2 linked regions of the Lytechinus pictus genome follow. The protein of the gene in region 1 purifies or fractionates together with the protein of each later gene. This does not show direct contact. Links are inferred from orthologs where the notes say so. Each region holds a gene or a part of one and is shown on either strand. Other genes may lie near its edges.

What was found. Proteins that work in one complex are often made in the same cells at the same time.
Region 2: the proteins of ribosomal RNA processing protein 1 homolog A-like (region 1) and serine/arginine-rich splicing factor 1B-like purify together in Homo sapiens (co-immunoprecipitation; 3 studies listed by BioGRID and IntAct, with this or other methods). This does not show direct contact. The link is inferred for Lytechinus pictus from reciprocal best matches to the Homo sapiens genes RRP1B and SRSF1.

The regions. Positions count from the first base shown.
Region 1 is NC_087252.1:14,096,367-14,103,526, reverse strand, and holds the start of ribosomal RNA processing protein 1 homolog A-like, read left to right. Parts: upstream 1-4,096; 5' UTR 4,097-4,155; intron 4,156-5,212; 5' UTR 5,213-5,283; coding exon 5,284-5,425; intron 5,426-7,160. UniProt on the Homo sapiens protein: Positively regulates DNA damage-induced apoptosis by acting as a transcriptional coactivator of proapoptotic target genes of the transcriptional activator E2F1.
Region 2 is NC_087246.1:14,835,577-14,843,173, reverse strand, and holds the start of serine/arginine-rich splicing factor 1B-like, read left to right. Parts: upstream 1-4,571; 5' UTR 4,572-4,670; intron 4,671-4,741; exon of another isoform or gene 4,742-5,162; intron 5,163-7,597. UniProt on the Homo sapiens protein: Plays a role in preventing exon skipping, ensuring the accuracy of splicing and regulating alternative splicing.

The DNA of each region.
Region 1 (7,160 bases):
ACATAAAATTTGCAGTTTGTAAGATATTGATATCAGATATTTTTAATATGTTCAGTTTTTTGAAAATTGGATCAGTATGGGCTAAGTAAGGAGAACCTGTGCAAATTCTTATGGCTCTTTTCTGCAGTAGCAATAAGGAATTAACATTTCTTTTGGTTCCACAACCCCACGCAATATTAGCATAAGATAAATAAGATAATATAAAAGAATTGTACAATAGTATAATAGACTTTGGCATTAACGTATCTTTAAGTTTAAACATTATACCAATAAATCTAGAAATATGAGTTCTTAGATGCTGAAAATGCAAATTCCAATTTAAATGTTGATCGAGAACAACGCCAAGAAATTTAACATTAGTTTTCCTTTCAATTAGGGTATTGTCTATTAAGATTTGGCACTGGTCTTCCATAATCTTTTTTATTGGGTTGTGAAATATAATATAATTGGTTTTACTGAGGTTTAGAGATAACTTATTACATTGTAGCCAGTTGGTTAGTTTACGTAATTCTACATTGATAGTGACGATCATTTTATTAAAATCATGATGGGAATATAACAGTGTCGTATCATCTGCAAATAACACATAGCTAAGCATTTTGGAAGAATTTACAATGTCGTTCATATATATTATAAAAAGAAGCGGCCCAAGAATGGATCCTTGTGGGACGCCACACTGGAGTTCTAAAATTTGTGATACATTTAAGTCGACCTCAGTGTATTGAATTCTGTTCTTTAAATAATCTTTGAACCATGCAAGAGGCGTACCCCTTATACCATATAACGTTCAAGTTTATGTATTAATATTGAATGATCAAGCGTGTCGAACGCTTTTGAAAGGTCCAAAAATAATCCAGTTATATATTGTTTTTTTGCAAGGGATTTGGTTATTCTATCATATAAGTCCAAAACTGCTAATTCAGTTGAATGTTGTCTCCTAAAACCATATTGGGCGGTGCAAAGTAATTTGTTTTTGTCTAAAAAAATATATACCTGGATATGGATTATTCTTTCTAAGATTTTAGATAAAGAGGGTAAGATAGATATAGGTCGGTAATTTTCACATTGGATACGATTTCCCTTTTTGAATATTGGTACGACCCGTGCTAATTTGAAAGAATTCGGATAGCATCCAAGAGACAATGATAAGTTGAAAATATGACATAGTGGTTCAGCTATAAAAAAGATTATTTGTTTTAAGATAAGTGAGTTAATATCGTCATGACCACAAGTTTTGGTATTTTTAAGGGATTTTACTATGGATATAACTTCGTGTGGTCTTACGGGTTTGAAAAATATCGAGTTTTCAGCTCGATCAGGTAAAAAATCTTTAAAAGAGTGCTCATTAGTTATAAAAGTTTTTGATAACGTTGGCCCTATGTTTACAAAATATTTGTTTAAGATGTTTACAATTTTCTGTGGGTCACGTGTCTTTTCTTTTTCAGAGTACATTTCTTTTGTGAATTCTGTTCTTTTGCCCCTACCTAAGATATTGTTTAAGATGGACCAGGTAGCAGACATATTTCCCGATACTCTTTTAAGTTTATTTGTATAATACATTTTGCGTGATGCTCTAATAACGGCTGTTAGTTTGTTACGATAAGCCTTAAATATGTTATGTTGGACGGTATTGCTAGGATTGCGTATATACAACTTATATAATCGGTTCTTTTTTCGGATAGAATTCATTATCGCATTAGTAATCCAGGGATTATGAATATTATTTTTTCTTTTCTTTTTGAGCAAACAAGGTATATTTTTATCATAATATTCCTTAAATTTTTGAAGAAAAAGTTCATATGCTATGTTCACGTCATGTGTTTCTTGAAATACATCTGACCAAGTTTCTATTATAAGGTCGATTTTAAGGGAGTTTATATTTTCGATTGAATATTGTCTATTAAAATATTCATTAGATTCACATCGTTTCCCTTGTGTTTTTCTTGATATTGTAAAAATAGGAAGGTGATCTGATATATCAGAATATAAAATACCACTTTGGAAATCTTCTCTTACAACATTTGTGAAAATGTTATCTAAAAGCGTTGCGGATGCCGGGGATACTCTGGTAGGCTTATCTATTAATGGATAGAGGGCGTAACTATTCAGAAACGACATGAATGTATTATAAGTCTGGTCGTTTTTTGTAAGTAAGTTTACATTAAAGTCGCCCATTAGATAAATATGTTTACCACCTTTCGAAAAATTACTGATACATGATTCTAATTGAAGAGTGAATGATTCAATATTCGTACCGGGTGGACGATACGCTACACCTACAATTACATTTTTACATTTGACATTGGTAATTTCTACAAAAAGCATCTCAAAGTCTGGTGATTCGGACAGAGGGGTCGTTAATTGAAAGGAAATATCTTCTTTTACATATAATACTACGCCTCCTCCACGTCCGTGTAATCTGTCCGACCGTAACATCTGATAACCTTCTAAATTGAATAAAGAAGGAGAATTAGGGTTTAACCATGATTCACTTACTCCAATGATGGATAGCGAATTGTTCAGGGATTTAAGTAGATTAGATACACTGTCAAAGTTGCGACTTAAACTCCGGGCATTTAAATGTAGTAAGCTGAAATAAGACTTGTTGTTATTATGACAGGAATTAAACTCATCGGGTAAATAATAGTGGCATTCATTAGATTTGAGTTCTTCTTCAGAAAAAGACATGTTTAAAGACTCAACCATCTAAGGATTTACATTGTTCGTTTATGCAGTACACTACTATCGTTAAGACACTGGCATTGATATCTAAAGACATGTTCTTAAAGTGGAAATGGCAATTGTTACAATATGACTTTGAGAGACTAAATACGCAGGAAAAACATATACAAAAGCCCATTAAAGATCTAATATAGAATATGTACACACTATAAGCAAAGATCTAAACAATATAATGGTGTATAATAATGAAATAGAATATAAAAGTATAAAACAATTACTATATATTATTTAGCGCATAAACAATTCGGATAATCTGGAGGAAAATTCGTCAATTTTAGGTTTGCCTTCAGCAAATATATAGACACATGATAATATAATAATGTAAGTATGCATATATCAATGGTATGTTGATAGGCATTGGATACAGACAGTAATTTAACCCATAAATTTATCGGGTTGAAGTTGTATTGAGACATACAAAGAGTTATTCAAATGCAGAATATAAAATTACAATCTTTATGATTATGTATACTAGTATATATATATATTAATGTTGAGTTACAATACAATGTGGTTTGATTTAAACAACAGTTTCGTAAATATTATAGAAGGGTATTTAATATAACACAGTTTTTCAGGATCTACTAAAATTGCCCATATGGAATAGACAAACTGTAGCGTTAATAGAGTTTATAAGGCAAGAAGGTCACTTTCTCTGAAGATTTGTTTCTTCATTGAAGTGTTAGGATCTGTCGTTTTAACCGAGGCGATAATACGGCCATCACTTGTCCATGCCGCGTTTACATTTTTGTGTTGGCTTGTCTTCTTGAGGAGTTTGAGGGTTGTCAGTGTCAAATCTTCTTGAATAGAAATTCCACTCCCTTTCAATGTCTTTTTCGCTTTCATAAATTGCGTCTTCTGTTTGTAGGAACACAATTTAACGATGATGGGTTTAGCCTTGGTTGGATCTTTTTGACCTACTCGATGGGATCGATCGATGTGGTGTTTTTTCAACTTGAACCCAAGCTGATCCTTGGCAATGTCAATTGCTATTTGATCGGTATCTTCACCTATTTTCTCTTTCACACCAAAAATTCTAATGCTGTTTCTCCTTGTATACTGCTCGAGAATATTCAATTGGCGCTCCACGTCTTCTCTTTTCTCGATTTCATTCTGTAGCTGTTTCTCCAGAATATATGTTTCTTTCTCTTTACTCTCCAAAGAATTTTGAAGTTGAATGATGGCTGATTCATTTTCTTCTATGTGGCGACGCATGTTTTCACATTGAACATTCACTACTTTATCCATTGTTTCTTTACAGACACTACAGTCTCCAGTGTTTTCATGAATTCTTTTGTTTTGAGTAATTTAGTGAGAATTGTTTGAAGGTGATAATCATCATTAGGTGAATGTTCAGACATATCAATCGTAACAGTGTCATCAGCTATATCACATTCAGAATCATTTGGATTGGTATGTTTCACCTTTTTCTTGCTTTTAGGGGTGCGCTTCACTCTGGCGCCATCCCCCTTACCCGCCATGATCGGACACCGAAGCGAACGTAAGGCTTAGGCGGGAACAGTATACACACGGATATATGTGACGATCAAAAGTACATATGGGACTGAGAGAATATATATAGTTACGTTCAAATGCTGATCGTTCGGCAATGCAGATTTGCTGTTTCTCCCTCCAGATCAGTCCAATAACGAAAATTTTGTGGCAATTACATCACGAAAACATAGGTGTTTACAATCACAATTAAGTCAAGTCATAAAAAATAGAAAAGAAATCAGTATCTTCTTGCAAATCTTGGCAATAATCTCAGGACGCCAAGACCACGTCACATCACGTCTATCTATCCGCTGTCTATTTCTTTTTGCCAAAATAAGAAAAAATCAATCAAGTTTAGTTATTCAAATCCATAACAACAACAAGAATAACATGAAAAAAACATCCGATGTTCATATCCGAAGATACGCTTTAGAGAGAAATGAATGATTATTCTTTTTGAAACCATTAATTGATTTCAATTATTAAAAAATTGTTAAAATATGATCATATTACCACTGGTGGGATGGAACACCCTATTAACAAAAGTTGTTTTTCGTCGGGGTCCTTTTATGTCATGTGTTAAAAAATATCATATACATAAACATTTCATTCATTTTCATCTTGAACCTCCACCCATCTGTTAAGTCCTGGAAAAGAATGTTTTTATTTAATAACAATATACACAAATTGCGAGGGAAACAAAAGGATTGATGGCATACTATAATCATCACTATAATCATCGATCATGATCAAACTTTTCATTTTTTCATCATCATTATTATAAATTTTCTACCCTAAATTATTGGGGGGGGGGGGATGATAATACAGGCCATCCCCCCCACTTGAAATATTGGGGGGGATATATCCCCCCATCCCCCCCGTGATCGACACCCATGTCTGTTATGATGTTATCAGCAAATCATTACACTTCTTCTCTTTTTTCTTCTACTAAAAAAAATAAAATTATGAATACTAGTATGCGAAAACCGAAGGTCTGTACCCGAAGACTACACCCATGCTCCTGTAATGTAAACTACGTGATCAAAGATGGCAGCGCCATGTGGACAATCGCCGCACAGCGTCGAAATTCATTTTGCTCAGAGACTTGCTTCAAATGAAAAGAAAATACGTGACAGGGCAATCAAACGATTGAGACACTGGATAGCTGCAAGATCTCAAAAGGATGGCAGTAAGTATGGGGTACTGTTGGAGAATTTCAACGAATCAGCTTGCATTAATTTTTTTTGCACGGTCCCATTCGTTCGTTTTCGTGGGAGGTCTTGTTGCCCCAAATAAATAAGAGTATAAAGACGTGCCAGGACACTTAGATCTAGGCCTAAGCATAATCATGAGCTAGACCAGGGGCAGCGGAACTGGGGGTGGGAAAGGGGGGGGGGGGGCAAGTGCCCCCCAAAATATTCCCTGTAGACTGTAGTAGGAAAAAATTCCCTTTTTGTAGCAATGTAGGTATGTGCGAATACGGGCGCATCGCGAGCGCTGGTTTTGGCTGCACGGTTTTCGCGCGGGTTTCGCTGCAAGTGGCATCGCCTCTGTCTGGGAGGCTCATCAAAAATGGGGTTTCATGCGCATGCGCACATAGTTGATGCAATCTCGTGCCTTGATACAGACAGTTGAAAATGTGCTCTTTCTGTACATATAAGTTTCAATGTGGATACTCGCCTGTGATTTGAAGTGTGGATATCGGAGCTTGAAAGTTCATCAAATTTTTGGATGCGCAAATGATCGAAATTTTTTAATGGTAAGTAGAACTACGATCCAATTATGTATCTGAATTGTTATAGAATATATTCAAATCAACAAAAAAATTAAAATTAAATTAAAAGATTCTATCGTTGAGCTGTCCAGATATAAGAGAAGCGAGCTACCCTTGTCACAGCCGGTCTCTTGGCAGTCGAGCTACCCGATGCGGTGGGCTCCCTTGAACCTTGAAGGAATAATCCCTTAAGCAGCTCTTCCAAGCTAAACTGGGATGGGATGTGCTGTGAGTGTGACAGAAGGTGATGGTGCAGACAATTTTGTTGGAATTCTATTTACAATAAAATTGGTGAAGTGCAAGTAAAAATCATGCTCCTAGTGCTTACAGCATCCTGGAACCTACATGAGGCTTTAACCCTCTGATGACAGGAAGGGCAGCCCCCCGGAAGACAGCAACTGATGGGGCAGTAACTGCTTTAGCTGGTAGATGGTTCCAGATACGAATGGTACGGGGATAATATGAAAATTTGTATGCATCAATCGTTGCTTGTGGTACAGAGAGTTTTAGCATATGATCTCTTCTACTGATGTATGGAGCCTGGGTTATGAAGTGTGGAAGCTGGATATTCACAAACTGGTGGTATATCTGATAGAGCATGGTGCTTTGTGCAAGGATACGACGTGTGTGCAGCTGGTCCCATCCCAAATTTGAGACAAGTCCTGAGGCTGATGTAGATTTTCTATAGTCGCGGGTCACAAAGCGAGCAGCTGTTTTCTGTACCCTTTCCAGGCTTGCAGCCGTAGTAGAGGTGTGGGGATTCCAGGCTTCAGCACCATACTCAAGCTGCGGTCGAACCAAGGCCATATACGCATTTGATTTGGCCTTTTCAGAACAAGGTGAGAGAGTTCTTCTCAGCAACCCAAGGGTTTTGCTGGCCTTGTTCGCAATAAGTTGACAGTGCGTATTCCATCGGAGGTCTTTGGAGATGGTGACTCCGAGGTATTTGTATTGGTCGACCTTTGCTATTACCTCATTGGAAAGCCTGTAGTTGTGTTGTATGGGAGCTCGCTTCCTAGTAATGGTAAGGGAAGCACACTTCTTGACATTAAAAGCCATAAGCCACTTTGCTGACCAATCTGATAGGGTTTGAAGATCTTGCTGCAGGATGGAGACATCATGTGCTGTGTTGATATCTCGGTATATCACA
Region 2 (7,597 bases), on another chromosome or scaffold:
TCTATGAGAGAGGTACATGGTTGTGCTTACTTTGGAAGCAGAGATTAATATGGGAACCTCCATAAATAAGAACTAAATAAATGGGGGGGGGGGGATTGTCATTCCTTGTTTCTTTTGAAAATGGTCCGTTGAACAATTTACTTTGGCTAGGATGCAGAAAATCAAAACACTCTCTTGAAATTTAGAAAAGAATCCATTGTGTTGGTGCCCAATTTTTGATTGTGGGTTTAGATTTGATTTCTGTTTGATATGCTTTCTTTAGGACCAGTCAATGCTTTTTAATTGAAAGATGATGAGTCTTTGGATGTATGATGCTGGTCTCACAGTGAGCCTCAATGTTGATGTTTTTATTTATTTATTAATTTTTGAGCATTTAATTTTAGTCCATGTAATACATGTCTATAATAACTAACATTATTTGATTGTCTTCACTATGAAGGAATTGTGAATAAAGGGGTAATGAATGTGCAAGTAATCGAAGTGTTCTTAAACGCTGTATCAAAATGCCATTGAGTGGAAAGATATTGAATATATATTGATGATATTATTACTAGTATTTTACATACATTATTTCCTTAAGTTGTAACAATAGCTGTATATAAGCAAAATTAATACATTATATTTATTGCAATAAAGTGCATAGAGAATTATCTTGCTTAATACAAATACTTGTCTATTTATCGTAGGTGCTATTAAACAAAATTTAGTTTTGCTAACTGAGCAATATTAGTTAAAATTTACATCTGTAGCATTTAATTTTATTGCAATATTGAATTTGATATTGTCACTTGATGTTATTGTTGCTTAATTGCTATCTGTATTGAGCAATCTGCAGTGATTTGCTTTATATGATACTTGTGTAAGATATATGATAGGATATTGTTGTGGCATAGTAATCCTTTCCAGCAAGTCAATGTATTCTTGTATCATTTGATTTCGTATTGCCAAATTCTGACCCTGTGCTTTCTTTCTGTTCCTTCTACTTTTGCATTTACTTATGATAGTAAAATAAAATTCATTTTAAATATTCTTTTACTTATCCTTCATACATATATTTGCTTTTTTTTGTTCTCATCATGCAACATCTTTATTAGATTTTCCCCTATATTTTTACTTCAAAATTATTTCTAAATATCTTGTGACTGACTATTCTTTGATCCTAAATCATTTTGATTTCATTTTATTTCCCCCATAAACATCACAGCCTACACTTTTATTTTTGATTTATCAAGTTTATTTATTTTATTAAGTGTAATACCCAGAGACATTCATCATTTTAAAAAAATATACACCTGTATTATTTAATGCTTCTTTTGTACATTTTGGTAGTATGAAATTCTAGGTGTAATTTTTACTTTCTTAACATTAAAACAGCTGTTTTAATGATATATTGTGCTGAACCATATTTGTATATGTTTATCAAAGTAGGCTGTTAACTTTTAATATCCAGGCATTTATGAATTATTTTCTTATATTGGCACAATCTATAAATATTTTCAATCAATTGTAGTGAGAAATATGCATGTATAGTACGCAATTTCTTTTCCAGGTCAATCATATATGTTGCGAGTGAAGAATATTTTAGATAATTGGTGATATGTCCTTTGTACAACTCTAATATACTTTGTTATATGAGAGTGAGAGAAATTCAATTTTTCTCCATTGACTGAAATTAATTCATTTTTTTATTATGAATAATTTAAGATTCATCAGCCTGACGGTGAGGTGTCATAAAGTGGATGTTTGCTTGATCTTATTTTGATTATTCCGGTGTTGCCATTTGGTTTTACCTCTGTTGTTGCATGTTTGACCCCCTACATATGGGACATTCTTGAAATTATTACATGTTTTCTAGTTTGAATTATAATGGTTTTAAGTGCAGTTAAAGAGGAAAACTGGATTATACAAAAAGGTTGATTTTTTTTTTCTTGAATTTCCAACATTTAGAAAATTGATTTTATCAAAGTGTACTAATAAAAAAGGCCTCATTTATTGCATCAGCATCTTTTAATCAGTGTTTTAAAGGAAAATAAAACACAAAATGTGTCATGATTAGGCGATGGAAACTTCAAAATTACTGCTTTTATGCAGATTGATAAAATTTAAACCCTCAGAGGCACTTTTATATTCTTTTTAATAAAAAAATGTAGCAAAAATAGAAATATACCAATTTCAAGAATTAAAAAATTAGTAATCTTGTTCTGAATGGGTCACTGATGATAACATAATAAAGTTTATAAATTGTTGCAGATGGCGTGTTCTTACATAGATTTATGATTGTTTTATCAATCACAAGGATGGAAAGCCAATTGAATGGCATGAATCTAGAATGCACATGTCAGTTCAAAGTGTTTTTAAATACTCATGCATGCATCGTTATGTGAAAAATCCTTGTGCTCTTCGTTGTTTTTAAAAGGACAGATGTACATGTACATTTCCTATATGAAATTGATGGATTATCCATATTTTTCACTACTTTTAGAATGCGGACAACCTGGGGCCCGTCTTACAAAGAGTTGCGATTGATCCGATCAATCACAACTATGGACGGCCAGCAACGTCAACATCTAAAATGCATGAACGTTCAAAATGTTTTCTACATATGACGTAAATTTACATAAATTAATTGTTTTATTGACAATTTGGTATGTTCGCCTTTGTTTACAAAAGGACATTTTGAAAATTTTATGTAGAAAAAATTATGACACTGAAGAATTTCCATAGAGTTACGATTGATTGGATCAATCGTAACTCTTTGTATGAAGGGGCCCTGATCTTACAGTTTGTATCGATTAGGTTCGAGACCAACAACCTTACTTTTATCACCTTTCTAGTAGTAAGAATATCATGCGTCTATTGAGCTTCAATACCTCATATTTCTGCAACTGAAAAAGTGGCTGCATTTGTAACAAACAGTTTCAAGAGTCACATTTTTTTTAAAGATATACTATTGGTAAACAACTTGTGCTGTAAGCTGACATATTCTGCCATAGTTCTTAATGGCTTAACAAAACAGATACAATGAGTTATGAATAAACTGAATTTATTGCAAGTAAAGGGTTGGTAAAAGGAAAATTGTCACTAATATATTGGAACTAAGGCTTTATATGAGAGTAAATGTTATTTTAAAAATGGTATGTTATCATTAGGCCTATGCCTACTGTTTGATATAAAAAGGTTGTCACAAAATGATGGAAAGAATAGGCAAAGAAAGTCTCCTGACTAGGCTCTTTTGGATTTTAGAATAAGGGAATTGTGGTCTTTATTATATTTCTAGGAAATTAATGCCTATTTTTCCACACTGATAGATTTAGAGCATACTAGATTGATATACTTTCTTTGGTTACTTTTACCTGAAAGTTGATGCTGTAGGTAACAGAATGGGATAACAATTATGTCAACTTCTCATTGAGAGTTGTAGTGAAAAGTAATCCCAATGAAGAGCTCTTTAAATGCCTGTCATATGAATATTCAGAATTTGTGCCTTTCTGAATAGATTGAAAGATGAACTGTATTAAAAAATGTTATATACATGGAAATAATCAACTTTTAATCATATGACTTAAACAATATTTTAATAGAAAAAAGTCTGAAAACAAAGTAATTTTCAGGGTTTTTTGTTCTTTTGCTTTTCTCCCTTTATTTTTTTAAAGGTCAAATCCACTCCAGAAAATGTTGCTTTAGGAAATAGAGAAAAATCAAACTTGCATAACGCTGAAAATTTCATCAAAATCGGATGTAAAATAAAAAAGTTATGACATTTTAAAGTTTCCCTTATTTTTCACAAAACAGCAATAGTATGCAAAACTCAGTGACATGCAAATGAGACAGACGATGATGTCCCTCACCATTTCTTTTGTTATTTGAATTATACAACATTTTTTCTCTTTTACAGATTTGACAATTGATTGTTTCACTGATTTGTCAATGAGGAGAAAATAAGAACATTTCAGATATCATATAATAAAAAACAAAAGAAATAGTGAGTGGATGACGTCATCAGTCTCCTCATTTGCATATACCAACCAGGATGTGCATACAACTGTTTTTTTAAATTAAGTGAAACTTTTTTTTTATGTCAAAACTTTCTTATTTTACATCTGATTTTGATGACGTTTGCTTAATGTTTGGCTATGCTTGTTGGCTTTTCTCTTTTTATTCAAATCAGCTTTTTGTTGTGGTGGATCATACATAAATGTTTAGTCTTCAAAAGTAGCAAAAGTGAGAGAAAAAGAGAGGTGCAGGAAGAGAGAGAGGGGGGGGGGAGACAGTAGGTCCATGATAAAACTATAAAGAATAAGGGGGAGGGGCTTTTTTGTACAATCCTGCTTATGATTTTTTTCACATATGTGCAGCTAATGAGGATTCAATTGTAGTGTTGAAAATACAATTAAAAAAAATATCATTAAAACAAATTTATTATATAGGGATAACTTAATGTGTATCGGAACAGATTGTTTCATTTCTAAATTTGAAAAATGTTTGTATTAATAGACTATTCTCGACTTAGACTTCGACTTCATGTAAACACAAACCCGAAGTTTTCCGAGCTTAGCTTCGGATCGTCCTTCGGATCACATCGGCTATATATCGATCAAAATCGCGGCGTCGTTGTTTAACGTTACCTTTTTTTTATGCAGAGAGCCCATTCACCAGTCGCGAGGACAAGGGTAATTCAATTCACAATTTGTCGATTTTTGTGTGCACTGTTTATAATATCGTTGATTTCGCATACATATTTGCGAATCAAAGTTGTACTTATTATTACTGACATGGATGGTGGTTGGATGGTGATGACGGTACATGTAATTTACATGTATTTAGTGTGTTCGATAATGTTGCAACCTGATTTGAAATGCCTGAACTCGCAGTGCAGTGCATGCACGCGCGCACAGCATTGTATACCGCGTGCCTTAATTGTGTGTGGATCGAGATTGGAGCTGAGACTTTACTGAGTGAGAGCGAGATTTTTGTTTTGAAGTAATCTTTGTCATTCATTCACATAAAATTCATACATAATCAAGAAAATATAAAACAAACTTGCAGCTGTGATTATACACAAATCAAATTACACTGTGAACATAGAATAGCAGACAAATTGTAATTGTATCAGATTCAGAAGTTGACAGAACCATGACATGAGAACAGGGGGCCGTTTGTATGTAAGTTAAGCATGTTAAGACTTAAGTCTAAGACTAAGAGCGTCTGTAACTTAATTTATGAACGACTGGTGATCCTTTTGTACGCACTAAAAACTATCGCCAATGAATATACCATAAGAAAGGATCACTAGTCATTCTTAAAGCCGCTCTTGTCTTACTCTTACGAACAGCTTCATGAAACGCCCACCAGAGATAATCCGAAATCATGCAAAAATAACATTTCAACAACTTATGTATGCAGCTAAAGCAATTTTAAAAAAAGATGTAACGTAACAGCTATGCAAACTGAAAGGACTGAAACTGAAATATAAAAAATAATATCCATTTGCACTTATTTGAGTTATATTTAAGATTTTCAGTTATATTTGAGTTTTGAACCTATTCGATGATGGCGAGAGTCAGCGTGCGCTAATTAAGATATTTCTGAAAACCACGAAATTACGAGAAGCTGAATATTTTGGGTTGAATCTGTTTTGCAATCGGATTTGACTAATGTGAGTTAGCGTGAGGCTACGGCTACAAATGTAGATCGTATGACTGTGTAGGCCCTAAGCTATTAGTAAATGACTATTATTTGAGTTATACAAGTCGGGCCTAGTTACGATCCCATTTAATGGTTGCGAGAGTATGTGTGTTTATTTTTTAGTTCCGATCGAATGAAATAAGATGCAATGAATTTGACCGAGGCGAGTGTAAGTGCGAGTCTACTATTACTAAAAGTCTAAAACCAGACAGGCCTACATCATTCAGCTCACGCACGTGCTGTCCTGTCTGGACGTGTCTGGACTGAATCGTCCGATATATATTTGGTCACATTACACTCGCTACACCTTCAAATGGGATCGTACTTGGAATATTTTCATTTTCATGTCGGGTTTCTCCCCATTCCCCAAATTATAGCCAAGCTTATCATTTCTCAACTTCTGAAACATAATCACACTTCTAACAAAGATTCAAGACAAGATTTAATTACAGTAACAGTAACTAATCACTTACATTCATCACCAGTAAGTTTTACTGCAAAACACGTCAATTCACAACCGACCACATACTCGGCGGGCACACATCATAAACCTTTCTGGCACGATACCGCCTTATAAGTATTGTTGTTTACGTGATGATGGATATCAAAATTTATAGTGGATATGCCATTTAAACTGAAATAAAGGAAAATGTGTGTTTTGTAATTTATATATTAAATATTAATTCATGAAAGATTTTCAATTGACAATTATCATTCTTTCATAATTCTCATCATTCATCGCTATCATCTTCACCAATCTTGATAATCATTTAAAATCATTTTCACTAGCCATCACTCATCATCGTCATTCATTTCAGTTTCACTCTCATTATCATTCATCACAAAGTCCGCCATTATCAAATCACAAAAACAACATGACACACGCAATCAACATTTATTCCACGTTTTCAACTTTTCATAGTTTCAAAAATAATCATCTTCATTTGTAACCAAAGTTGGTGTGAGAAAAAGCAGAATTCATTTTGCACTTGATGAATAAATTACAAGAAACAACATGACACACGCAATCAACATTCATTCGACGTTTTCAACTTTTCATAGTTTCAAAAATAATCATCTTCATTGGTAACCAAAGTTGCTATGAGAAAAAGTAGAATTCATTTTGCATTTGATGAATAAATTACAAGAAACAACATGACACACCCGATTTACACGATCAACATTTATTTGACGCTTAAATGGTTTCAAATTATCTGCATTCTTCACTCGCATTGAAAGTCGAGGTAAGAAAATATACGATGAGTTACGCATTTGAAATCATCAAAACATAAGACGGGGAAAGAAAAACGATCTTAAGCGACACCATAGTAAAATAGCCATCGTTGTCAGAACGGAACTTTACTCCATTCACGGACGGTCATGCTCCAAAACTGATATAAGGTCATGTTTCAAAACTGATATAAAAATGATGGTTTTCGGCGGGAATATATTACCGAAGAAGATTAATTGATATTGGTGATTATATTGGCGACTAAAACTTATAAATTTTGTTGGTGAGTCTTACTAAATTTAATGAGTTTTTGTGACAGGAAAGTGGTGAATCAGTGTCCACGGATACCCGAACCTGAAAAATGAAAACCGTTATCCGTCCACGCGGGCGGAAACCGTTCGGATATCCGTATGGTGGCAGCACTATATGAGATAGCGATCGATCTTGTAACAAGTTTGGAACTAAAATTAAAATAAAAATTTTAGTATTGAGATTGTCCCAGAAAACAATCAGTCAATAGATTTTGAATCATGTACGGTATGCATTTCATAACTTCTCGCAGGCATAAGCATAATTCAGAGTTAGACCCTTGGCCTAACTTTTTAGTAATATTGAGATTATATTAGCGAACATCTGATGTTAAGACGGATGACGGCGAAAAACGCCGCTTAACTAGATCTA